2 linked regions of the Xenopus tropicalis genome follow. The protein of the gene in region 2 purifies or fractionates together with the protein of the main gene of each other region. This does not show direct contact. Links are inferred from orthologs where the notes say so. Each region holds a gene or a part of one and is shown on either strand. Other genes may lie near its edges.

Region 1 (6,436 bases), on a different chromosome or scaffold from region 2:
TTTCAACTGGTCTTCATTTTTTATAGTATTCAAATTATTTGACTTTTTCTTAAACTCTTTCCAGCTTTTAAATAGGGGTCACTGACCCCAGTAGACAAAACAATATTGCTCTGTAAGGCTACATTGTTCTTTGTATTACTTATCTTTCTAAGTATTCATATTTGGACTCTAGCAGCTGCTAAAATTCCAAACTGAAGAGCTGAACAAAAAGCCAAATAATTTAAAAATCACATATAATAAAAAAATAAAAGACCAATTGCAAATTGCCTCAGATTATTACTCTCTACATCATACTTAAAGTTAACTTAAAGGTGAACAACCCCTTTAAAGACTGGATTGTGGAAACCACCAGGAAAACCATTAAGTGCTCATACACATGGGTGTGTTAGTGACGCGTTTTTACTGCTTCTTAAATGCTTTATAAATGCATAAAGAAACTGAAATAAAAAGCAAATTGAGCAATACTTATAAAAGTATATTCAAGCAGCTTGAAAATGCACTGCGGCTGCATTTATTATTATTTATATAGCGCCATCAATTTACACAGCGCTTTTGCTTTTATTTGTGCTTATTTCCACAGAGTAAAATCATGTACGCTCTCCATGTGTATATAAGTAAGGGCAACAGAGACCACAATGACAGAAACAGCATAAAGAATGCATAAATGACTGTAGGGAATAAATGGCCACCTATAAGGGCAAATTGTTTTTAAAATTTCCAAAAAAAAAATAAATAGATGGGGTATGATCAAACACTGTTCTGAACTCACTGATCCAGACTTGCTGCCTGCTGATATGAGCTCTTGGCATTTTCAATATCATCCAGATATGTGAGTGCCACTGAGGAGAGAAATATCATATTAATAATATTATTGACAGTGATTAAATAATTTGTAATAGAGTGTATAATTGGACTTGTGGGAGGTTTGTATGCTACGTACCTGCCAGCAACATGTAAAGGCCAGCATTACCATGGTGAAGAGAGATGGCTGCACTTAGGAAGTGGAATGCGGAGGCATACTGCTGCATGCTGAGATGGACTAGGCCCAAGTTATACAGAACTCTCCAGTCAAATGGGGACAGGTAAAGTGCACGCTTAAGACAACTAATGGCCTGCAAATGAGAAAGCAATTATCATGGACATGAAAAAGCCCTTCTAGCCCACACTGCCATCTTCTTCCAGTCTTCCATGCATTCCCTGCTGGGCTTAGGCAAAGGCATGTACAGTACAGAACTTTTCTTGGGGTTTCTGAACTGAGCATGCACCCTCCTAGCATTGGCACAGGGACTCCTAGGAAAAACAAAGTAGATGGAGGCATGGCATGCAGCAAACTGTACCCTGGGTTGGTGCATTTCTTGAAGAGGAGTACCAGCCCAAGAAAACAGGTAAGTGGACTAGGATCACTGGGGGTGACTAACATCTTGGTAGCCCCAATGTGCACTTGTTTTGGAACCACTCATTAAATAAGACAATATCAATGTTCACTATTTTCCAGGCATTTTATTTCTAAAAAGATACAGTGTTCTGGGTGCAAGAGATCACTACAGTATATACAATTACAGCACAATTTTGGCTACTCAGAGACATGATATTGTCCTTCAGCAAATTTAAAACTTGTAAGTCAAACTGATGTAAAGAATACAAGTAGCTTTTATAATGGAGATTATTTGCATGTTGAGATACAGGAAACATATTTTGTGTGGAACTTTCCTTCTCTACTTGTAAATAATTGGAAGCAGCCATACAACTGAAGAGTTGCACTGCTATAACATATGTTTTCACACTGGAGGTGCCCAAGGTGCTGTCTAGCAATAGTAAGGGATATTCTATTAAATTTTAACATGAATAGCCCAGGCAGATTACTAGAATAAATATGATGTCAGGGAACATAGCTAGATACTACATTTGACAGTTGAAAATGTTTATAAAAGTACAAAGAATAGAATTCATGTTCTGTTGCACTTAGCACATCTGTGTATGGTTCTTTACTGTTCTTTAGTGAAAAGTAAATATTACAACAGAGTGCAGTGCTACTAATCTCTGCCATAAACACTTCTCCTGTCTCTGCGCAATAAACCATGGATTTAAGTACTAAGGCTCATGGCCCACAGGGAGATTAGTTGGCCGTGGCTACTGTGGGCAACTAAACTCCTCGAAATGCCTTTCCACTGACAAAGTGAATCCATGATGGAATGGCATATGCCTTGCTTCCTTTTCCGAAGTCAAGCAGGAGTAAACTTTGCATGTTCGAAAAAACAAAACAATATTCATTGCCTTTTCACCAACAATTCACTTTGTTGCTTGTGGAAAGGCATTTTGGGAAGATTACTCGTCCGCAGTAGCAGAGATTTAACCTTAGGCAACTAATCTCCCGGTGGGACATCAGCCTAACAGAATGATCTTATACGGGCAGTGATGCAAGTTGTAATCCTCTTTGCTATGAAGATCTTTCCCTGCACCAGAATACAGCACAGTTAGCCTGTGACCTGATTCCCTTATTCAACCACTTGTTCTAACAACTTGCTATGCGTGGGCACTGTAAGGATAGATGTTAACAAACAGCAAGTCCTATGGATTGCTTTCCACTAGATTTGTATGGGTTAAACCAGTCTTATTTTATTACAATGCACAACTATTGCACATATACAATAATTGCTTACAGTGTTTTGCATGTGTGCATATATACAAAGCACAGTTTAATTTTTATAGAGAAAAAGGAAATCAATTTTAAAAATCTGAATTATTTGATTAAAATGGAGTCTATGGGAGACAGGCTTTCCCTAATTCAGAGCTTTCTGGATATCGCATTTCTGGAGAAGCGATCCCTTACCCGTAACTATATTTTTGGCTACATATATCAGTTGTACACATGGATTGTTTAAACAGTCCAACAGAGTTATTTGGTACAGCTTTATGGCAACAGCCCTGCAAATTGATATTCTACTGTGATTTTTAGTTTTTACTTTAAAGATCTAACTGAAATCATGTTGTCTGTAGTGCAGGCCCAGACTGGCAATATGTGGGTTTGGGCAAATGCTAGAGGGGCTGCTATAAGATGCCATAGACAGTCACTATTTAGTGGGCTGTTTTGGCCTCTGTGTACTTGAAATGTCAGAGCCTATTTTGAATCCCAGTCCAGGCCTGTTGTTGTGGGCCACAAACATCTACAGTGAGGAACATAAGTATTTGAACACCCTGCGATTTTGCAAGTTCTCCCACTTAGAAATCATGGAGGGGTCTGAAATTCACATTGTAGGTGCATTCCCACTGTGAGAGACAGCATTTAAAAAAAAATCAGGAAATCACATTGTATGATTTTTAAAGAATGTATTTGTATTGCAATGCGTATCAGTATATGTCATTTCTCAATGTAAAAGTACTTGAGCACATGATGAATTATGCAGGAGAAAGAAAACAGCCCAGCGGCAAAGTCAGTTCAAGAAGTACTTGCTTAGGTGGGTGTGCATGTTAATCATTCTGTAAGAAATATAGGTTTCTCCTGCTGGGGAGTAATCATTAGGGTGTCATTAGCAGGGAATAATGCAATAGCTGTTACATTCAGCTACTAACAGGTTCCTCGTTATATGCAATTTTAAACAAAGGTAACACTGTACTTCAAATGAAAAGGTTGTTTGCTTCCAAAGATAAAGTCTGGTGTGAATGACTTAAATAAGAACACAAATTAAAATAATGCCAAACCCAACATACCACATACCATACAACCAGACTCTAAGATATTCTGTGCACAATAACAAAATGGAGACGGCAGCTGAAATGTTTGATGCAGGTGCGAGTGTCTGGGCTGGGAAGCGTACCTTAAAGAACTCCATTAACTATTATTGGGTCTTATGTTTAAGATATTTAGTTACACTTTATCTTCTTAATTATGATATTCTTCATATCAGTGGCTTGCAAAGCAGTGACATAGCATCAAATCTGATGGCCGCTTAATTTGAGGGTCAGTCCTTATTTCTTGGAAATCTTGGAAATCCCCAATCTGTTACATCAAGGTTTTTATATATTTCTAATTCTGTTTAAGATAGCCTTGAAGGAAATACCAATCTACAAAGTTGGGCCTGAACCCAAAAAGTTTGAAGGCTCCTGTTCTTGATTATGAAAGGAGGTACAATATAAAATCATAAGAGCATACTTACCGCCACATACTTCTTTTTCCCATAAAAACACATGCCAATGTTATTCCACAAAGGGGAGCTTTCAGGGACACTGGAGGCTGCAACTCTGTACTTGCTGAGGGCTACATCATAATCTCCATGGGACTGCATCATACAGCCTGCTGCTAATATACCCTAAAACAGAGAATACTTTATGCAGTCAAGCCAAGTATGATATAGTACACAAGCTTGGCATTTAATCAACAAAAATTAAAATAATTACAGGCTGAGGCCAGATTGAGACCAATATCCCATTTAGACTGAACACTTATTTATTTATATTCCCAAATGTATATAAAAAGTAGACTATGCAAATAATGACACTAGGAATCTACAACACCTTTAGTAAATCACACTGCCTGAAACACACAGCTCGCTACAAATATACTTTGAGTCTTATTGGTGATGATTGCAGCAGTAAGAGAAGCATTAAAAAAAAATAGATAATATATAACATAGGTTCTTAATTGCAGGCCTGCTGGCTGGATATGGTGCTCCAAAGCATTTTAAGACAACCAGTTTATATAATTTGCCCTGAAAACATGTCTTCTTATGTACACAGAACATGAAATATGATGTATAGCACTAATATATTATTGCAGGCCTTACTGTGGCTTCTACAAAAAAAAAAACAAAACACATTAATTCTGTAGTGATGCTGATCCTGTTATCATGCAATCTATGTGCTTTTAGTGACTTGGTTACTGTGTTTTGTGTGGAAATTCAGTATAAATCTTAAATTTTGCTTAATGAAAAAATTTTTAAAGCAGATAATAATAAAGAGACAAATATAAAAAAAAGTACTAACATTAACAATGAAAAGTATGTATATACTGCAATAGAATTAAACTACTGCTGGTAAAAAGTTACAAATGGCGATGTGCAAACGTACATTCCCAAATTTCCCTTGCTAAATTTTGTTATTTGGCTACTAGAGCCCAATTTTATAATTCTTATTATTTACATTTATTTACAAAGCCCCAACATATTCCACAGTGCTTAACAATTAATGAATGTATACATCAAACATACAAATTACATACTTAAAACAACAGATTCCAGAGGGAAAAAAGCCCACTCTGAGGCATAGTCTAAGGCAGTGATCTCCAATCAGTGGCTCGTGAGCAACATGTGGCTTACCAACCCCTTGGATTTTGCTCCCAGTGGCCCCAAACCAGGTAGTTATTTTTGTATTCCTGACTTAGTGGCAAGTTTTGGTTGAATAAAAACAAGATTTACTACCAAATAAAGCCTCCTGTAAGCTGATATTGTGCATAGAGGCTGCCTAATAGCCAATCTTAGCCCTTTTTTTGGCACCTCCATGAACTTTTATGATGCTTGTGTTGCTCTCCAAGTCTTTTTACATTTGACAGTGGCTCACGAGTAAGAAAAGTTGTGGGCACCTGGTCTAAGGCAATAAATTACGTGAATAGAGGATGTGCATTCTGGAGCCCCTCAGCTGTTTGACTGCATCCCCAAATAGCCAAACTCCGGAGATGCAGTTCAACAACTGATGGGATGTAGGTAAGATAAATATCTAACAAAGTCACAAAATCGTATGTCCTCTTTAGACCAGTTTTTCAAGAAGGGGCCCCACTGATGATGGGGTTCAGAGCAAAAACTTTTTTACCATCTTCTAAATCTAAATATTTTGAGAAACCTGCTGCTATGACTGCAGAATGTTTACCTTACCTTATAATTACTAGGGTCATATGTGAGAGCATTCCCAAGGTATTCAAAAGCTTTCTGGAACAACCCATTCTGTGGATAAGCATAATATGAAAAGTAGAAAGAAATGAAACTGTCAAGCAAACAAACAAAGTAGAATTATCAAAGGTTTGTGTGGATTATAACAGGAGCCTATGCAGGCCAATCTGGAGAGGACATGGCAGATAAGGTACCAATTTGGTCTGAAGGGAAATTAAACAGCTCAAATCTGCTGTTGTATGGCCAGCTAGATAGCACTTACATAGCCAAGAGCAGAATAAACAAGGAACTGGGACAGGTATGATCAAGATATAAAAGGCACAGAGATGCTGTATGTTGGACTGCTATTATAAGGGCTATGCATATACTATGTAACTTTATACTATATACTACGTTATGTTAATCCTTTGTTTGGATGTATTACTATTCAAACTATTACAGTTAGATCTAAAAAAATAAGGAAAGAAGAATTCAGGTAATACTGCACTCTGATATGATTTGGACAAAACAATTAATGTAGAAAACACAGACCTGCAGGTACAGCAATCCCAGTGTTG
Region 2 (5,675 bases):
CCTTGAATTTGAACTTGTCAATGAAGAGATCTGTGATCATACCTGCAAAAACAAACAAACTATAGTGAACCGCTGGCTACTTTATTTATATCAGTTATTTAGTTATATCAGCCTTGTAACAACCATCTGCCCCAAATTTGTAAAGACGATACTGACTCAGTTTGCAGTTTCGGCATTGTCTAAACTACTGTGACATCCTCTTGTCAACTGCAGTAGTGCTCCTGTTATAAGTTTGTAATTATAATCACAATGTACATCAGATGTAACTGGGGGTGTAGTCTGTAGATCAGGGCTGTAAGTGAGACTTGTTTGTAGTGGGATAAATCCCTTTATACCATAGAAAAGGGAAGTTCTGTTCATTTTGGGTAAAATATGGGGACCACATATTAAAAACCATCAAAACCCACCATAAAGCCTTTCAAGATGTGCAGGTTGCTTCTTGTATTCTTCCTGAAGTTTCTCTGCCTCTTCTAAAATAGAACGGTACTCTGGGATCAGAAAGTCTGTGTTTCCTTCATGAACTTGCAGCTCCTATTGTACAAAACCAAAATTAAATAGTTCAGCAATCATTTCAAGCCCATTTGCAGAGCATTCGTATCCTGTAGAACAGGGGTGGGCAAACTACAGCCCGCGGGCCACATCTGGGCCGTTGGCCTTTTTAATCTGGCCCGCCAACTCCGGCCCCCTTAAAAGAATGACGGGCCTTTATTGGTTGCGCCCCGTGCGTGCGCATGACGTCACCACGCATGTGGCGCAACCATATAAAAGGATGCAGCAGGGAGCCGGGGGGACAGAAGCAGCCAAGGACGGAGGAAGCAGGGGGTCACTGGAGGAGGGAGCTGCAGGTCGCGGGGGGGGGGAAGATGAAGGATGCTGGTGGGAGGATTTTGAGGAGATGCTGGGGAGTGGAGCTGGAGGATGCTGGGGTGGGGAGCTGCAGGATGCTGGGAGGGAGCCCTGAACTGCCACTGCTTTTGTGAAAATGCAGGGAGTGGGTGTGAGACTATAAGCCACAAACTGAGGATTACTTTACCATGAACCTGAAAAAACTTTTTTGGCTCTCCCAGACTGGAACATGCTACATGTTATCAATGCCTTTTTCTAAAGTGCCTATGATTTAATCTTTGGTAAAATGAACAGGTGAGAGGGACAATGAGACAAAATAGTGAAATCCTTCCCACAAAGGGAAATGACGAGGGCAAGAGTCTCACACCAGCCAAGCTTAGGGTGTCAGATGGGTATGCGACAGTAGAACCTGTTACCAACAAGACACAGAAAGGCTAGAGCTGGCTGGTGTAATTCTAGAAAATGCAGAGAAGGGAAAACCATGTGTCAGCCCTGTTGATATCAGTGTCTTGCTTCTGTGAGAAAAATGCTTTACCACAATGATTACCTCAACCCCCAGTGCCCAAAGGAGAAAAGTTGCTTTTATGATCTTAAAGTTGGGGTGTGTAATCCAACACTGGCTAGCATGCTGACATTCATGATTTTGAAACATAGACAGACCCATTGATAGCTAATTAGCTAAAAGCTCACACAAGAAGAAATGCTCCTAACACATATTACCCACCTTCAGAGCATCAATTAATTGTACTTTTTTGGCTAAGAGCAATTGGTACTCCAGTTTTGGATGAATCAGTTTCAAAGTGTGCCCAACAGATTCTTCATTTATATCTGCACAAACCAAAAGAAGAAGTGAGGCAAAAGTTAGTTTTATATGATGACTGCAAAAGCTTGCTACACATGGAGGAACCGTAACATTCATTCTAGTAATTACTATCCAAACTGCATTAACATTCATTAACATTACCCTTGAGCTCAGGAAAAGTGAACAGCTCTTAAAAAATAATGTTAAAAGGCCATAACATAAATTTGTTTTCTTTTACATTATAAAGTTCTAGGTTTGTTTCTTAGCAGTAAAAGCCATGTTTTATACCAGAAGTGCCATTACTGACATTTTAACAATTTATCTTCCCTCAAAGGGGCAGTAAACACCTTGGCTTGAAAATAGCACAATAAATAAAACAGGGTAATATTTCAAAGGGAGATAATGAGCTTTGTATAAAAAAACCCCGCTAATACCTAAGCTGCAGCCTTTGTAATAAGGAATAGCTCATTTACAAAGGGAATCTGTATTACAGGACATGTAAAGTCTATTTTATGGAGGGGTTCCAAAATGTTAGGCCCCCTAAGTGAAATAGGTTGCTATATTATTTTCCCAGGTTGGTGCTCCTGTTAGAAGAGAATCTTAAAAGCCTGTGGAAAAAACTGTCTGAGCGCCATGCCGCCAATTTACTTACCATTTACCGGCCACTGCACTCAAATAAGAAAGTAAGGTAAGGAGATGCCGGTGCGGTGCTCAGACAGTTTTTTCTACAGGTTGGTGCAGTTCCCTCCAGGAGCACCAGCCTGGGGAAAAACTTAGCAACCTATTTCACTAATTTGAGAAACAAGTCAGTAGTATTAAAGGGATATAAATTCAAAAATAACATTTAACTGTTATTTTCAATATAATAATTTTCCAGTATACATTCATTAAAATATTTTAGTATTTTATATTTTTGATGAAACTAAATACTCTTTCAGATAAAATGAATATGGATTTGAAATATTTTCTTTTTACAATGAATATAATTTCTATTTTCTAATATATTTATAATAAGGCATCAACATTTCCTAACTAGATGGCACACATAACTGAACTACTTGAAATATCTCCAGACTCGGTAACAAACAGCTTGTGTTAGTCTGCAATACAAAGGTGGAGATATACTGCACTATAAAAGATTACAAAAAGTATATTAAGAAATAAATACTCACAAAAGTAATACATTTCAAGAACAAGAGCACTGAACAGTGGAATGTATGTTTGTATAAGGCTAGGTAAGGGAAAGTAAATTAGACAAAATACCATATGATATGTTGAGATTAATCTTTCTTTTAGTGGCTTCTTTTGACAGCACATCTTTCAGGATAGAAATTGTTGATATATTGTCAGATTTAAATAATCCTTCTCCCTTTCTGTGATAAAAAAAAAGAGGTGAGCATGAATGACAATGCTATATATATGTATAATATATTATATATAGGTTTCATTTCCTGTGGAAGTCCACAGAAGACATTTCAGTGACAACATATATATATTTTTTTAATGAACATAATATTTTGATGCTGCACAAGACCCACTGACTGAAGTACTTTTGTTTTAACAAGTTTTGATACAGGTATGGGTTCAGTTATCCAGACACAGTTATCCAGAAAGCTCCAAATTACAGGAAGGCCATCTCCCATAGACTCCATTTTAATCAAATGATCCAGATTTTTAAAAATGATTTCCTTTTTTTTTTTTGTAATAATAAAACAGTACATTGTACATGATCGTAATTAAGCTGCACTAATTCATATTGGAGGCAAAACAAACCTATTGGGTTTATTTAATGTTTAAATGATTTTTGTAGTAAGGTACAGAAATCCAAATTATGGAAATATCTGGAAAACCCCAGGTCCCAAACATTCCGGATAACAGGTCTCATACCTGTAAATGGATTGCACATTCTGGAACATTATATATAACAGTCCTGGTTATATTGACCACGAATAAGAAAAAATTGTATTTTTTCTAATTGTTAGACCTTTTCGTATTTACAACAATATCGTTAAAATAGTAAGACTTTTTCGTGGTTTTCGTTAAATTCCACAAAAACTTTGTATTTTTTGCAAAGACTACGACAATTTCGGAATTCATTTAAGCTTTGGTATTGTGACTTTTTTTTGGCCAGGTTGGAGCTGTAGAGTGTCATTGAGTCCTATGGGAGGCTTCCAAAATCATGCATTTAAGTTTTAAAGCCAGAAAGGATCTCGCACCTTTAACGATCGTTCGGATATGAACATTTTGTGACTTTCGGATCGCAACCACGATATTTTCGTATGACCAAAAAAAGAATTTTTGCACATTAGAAATTATTGTGGTTACTCCAAATTTTTTCCAATCGTGCTTTTAATTGGCGGAAATGATTCTGAAGAACCCAGTTTTACAATTTACCTGTATGTACATTCGAGCTGCGTTTCCAGAAAGGTATTCTTGAAGTAAAAGGTGACGTTCTCTCCCACTGGAGTTTTCTCAGGGACTTCAGGTAAACAAAATACAACCCAGGAATGCATGTCTGAAAAGCTGAACTGGCCAGTCAGGCTCACCGTGTTCATGGGCCTGAAATACATGCACATATCATTACTGTCAGTCTAGCATAACTCATACTCTCATCCACTTTTGGTCTGTTCCTTCATGAAGCTTTATTTATTTAATTTTAAATATATGTTCCCTTCCAAAATAGTAAATATATTTAAAGAACAATGAGCCAAAATAAAAGGTGGAGATGTTTGATAACATCAAACTTTAATAGATGATAAGTTCTGCCAGCCTGTGCTCTTCTTTATTAAAAAAAATCCTCTACCTGTCCTAATATTGTATCTGACTGTGTTGCCATATTAGTGAGTCAGGCATTGTTTAATTGCTCATACATGTGCAATACAGAGTCTAATGGGCTTAAGGGTGCTAATGTCACCTTCCTAAAGATCCAAGAATATCTACAAGAGCAATGTGCTCAGCCCAAATATCTACTACCTGACTTTCAGGGTGGCATTTGATTTGTTTCTGAAAGCAAATAAGCAGTCATCTCAAATCACACAGAAAGCTAGCCTTCAGGCTAGACTGATCTATCATTTACTTAGGCCTCACTTGAGGTAATAATGTTGCTCAACAGTTGTAAACCTCTGGGTGGAGGCATAGCCTTATTGAAGTGCTGAACTGCTGATTCATTATTTTTCTTCAATCAAACACACAATACTTTTGGCTTTCCCATGCAGTGTAGAAAAAAACATTTCTGGCACAGTGTACCTGTTCTGATCAATGGCATGAGCCCTTTGATGAAGTGACAAAGGCTTAATCTGGTACTGGCGGACTTGGCAAGTTTTTGGTTGAATGCGAGGTGTAATATATGCTTGCAGGGTTCCATACTGTCCTTCGATAGACCGAATCTGTTTTAATAAATGAAAAAATAAATCAGCCTTAATGCAAAAAAAAGAGAAAAAAAAGGTAACCTGCAAAAAACACTACGGATAGTGTGCAATCCCAGCTGCTATAAGTAAAGATATATATAGAGAGAGATAGTAAGAGAAGAGGGAGAGAGTATTACACATGTACACTCGATCTGGGTTTTTCATTCCTACTTTACTTGAAATAAATCTAAATGCTTGTTTTACCTTGAGTTCAAGCCGTGTGGTGTTAGCTTGGCAACGATAGGTAGCAAGAAGGAAGTTGCCATTTGGCTGTAAGAAAGATTTAGAAATAATCAGCTAAGAATTATTACAAAACTTTTTCAATACGAATGTAAAGCTCAGAGAAACCAGAATCACATACACATATCTGAGCAATGGATACTCTGCTTGCTGCTGAATTACCTTCAACCTTCTGGCACATTGCCACCAGAGGCAGCAGAGCCAAAGCCAATCCCTCCCACTTTCTCCTAGCTCTTCTGCACTCACTAATTCTTCTTAAAGTAAAGTGCTGCCTAAAGTACATTATTTACCTTGCCTCATACCAGAAGCGTCACTGTAATGTGTGAGATATCTGAGCAAGTGTATAATTTCTCATGTACATAAATGATACAATTTCCTGC

What was found. The genes of interacting proteins can lie anywhere in the genome.
Region 1: the proteins of bbs7 (region 2) and bbs4 purify together in Homo sapiens (co-immunoprecipitation; 7 studies listed by BioGRID and IntAct, counting the BioPlex papers as one, with this or other methods). This does not show direct contact. The link is inferred for Xenopus tropicalis from reciprocal best matches to the Homo sapiens genes BBS7 and BBS4.

The regions. Positions count from the first base shown.
Region 1 is NC_030679.2:92,228,994-92,235,429, reverse strand, and holds part of bbs4 (Bardet-Biedl syndrome 4 protein homolog), read right to left. Parts: coding exon 6,411-6,436; intron 5,934-6,410; coding exon 5,865-5,933; intron 4,308-5,864; coding exon 4,155-4,307; intron 1,113-4,154; coding exon 941-1,112; intron 840-940; coding exon 770-839; intron 1-769.
Region 2 is NC_030677.2:66,816,216-66,821,890, reverse strand, and holds part of bbs7 (Bardet-Biedl syndrome 7 protein), read right to left. Parts: intron 5,326-5,675; coding exon 5,260-5,325; intron 5,035-5,259; coding exon 4,895-5,034; intron 4,208-4,894; coding exon 4,043-4,207; intron 3,022-4,042; coding exon 2,912-3,021; intron 1,675-2,911; coding exon 1,571-1,674; intron 532-1,570; coding exon 408-531; intron 43-407; coding exon 1-42.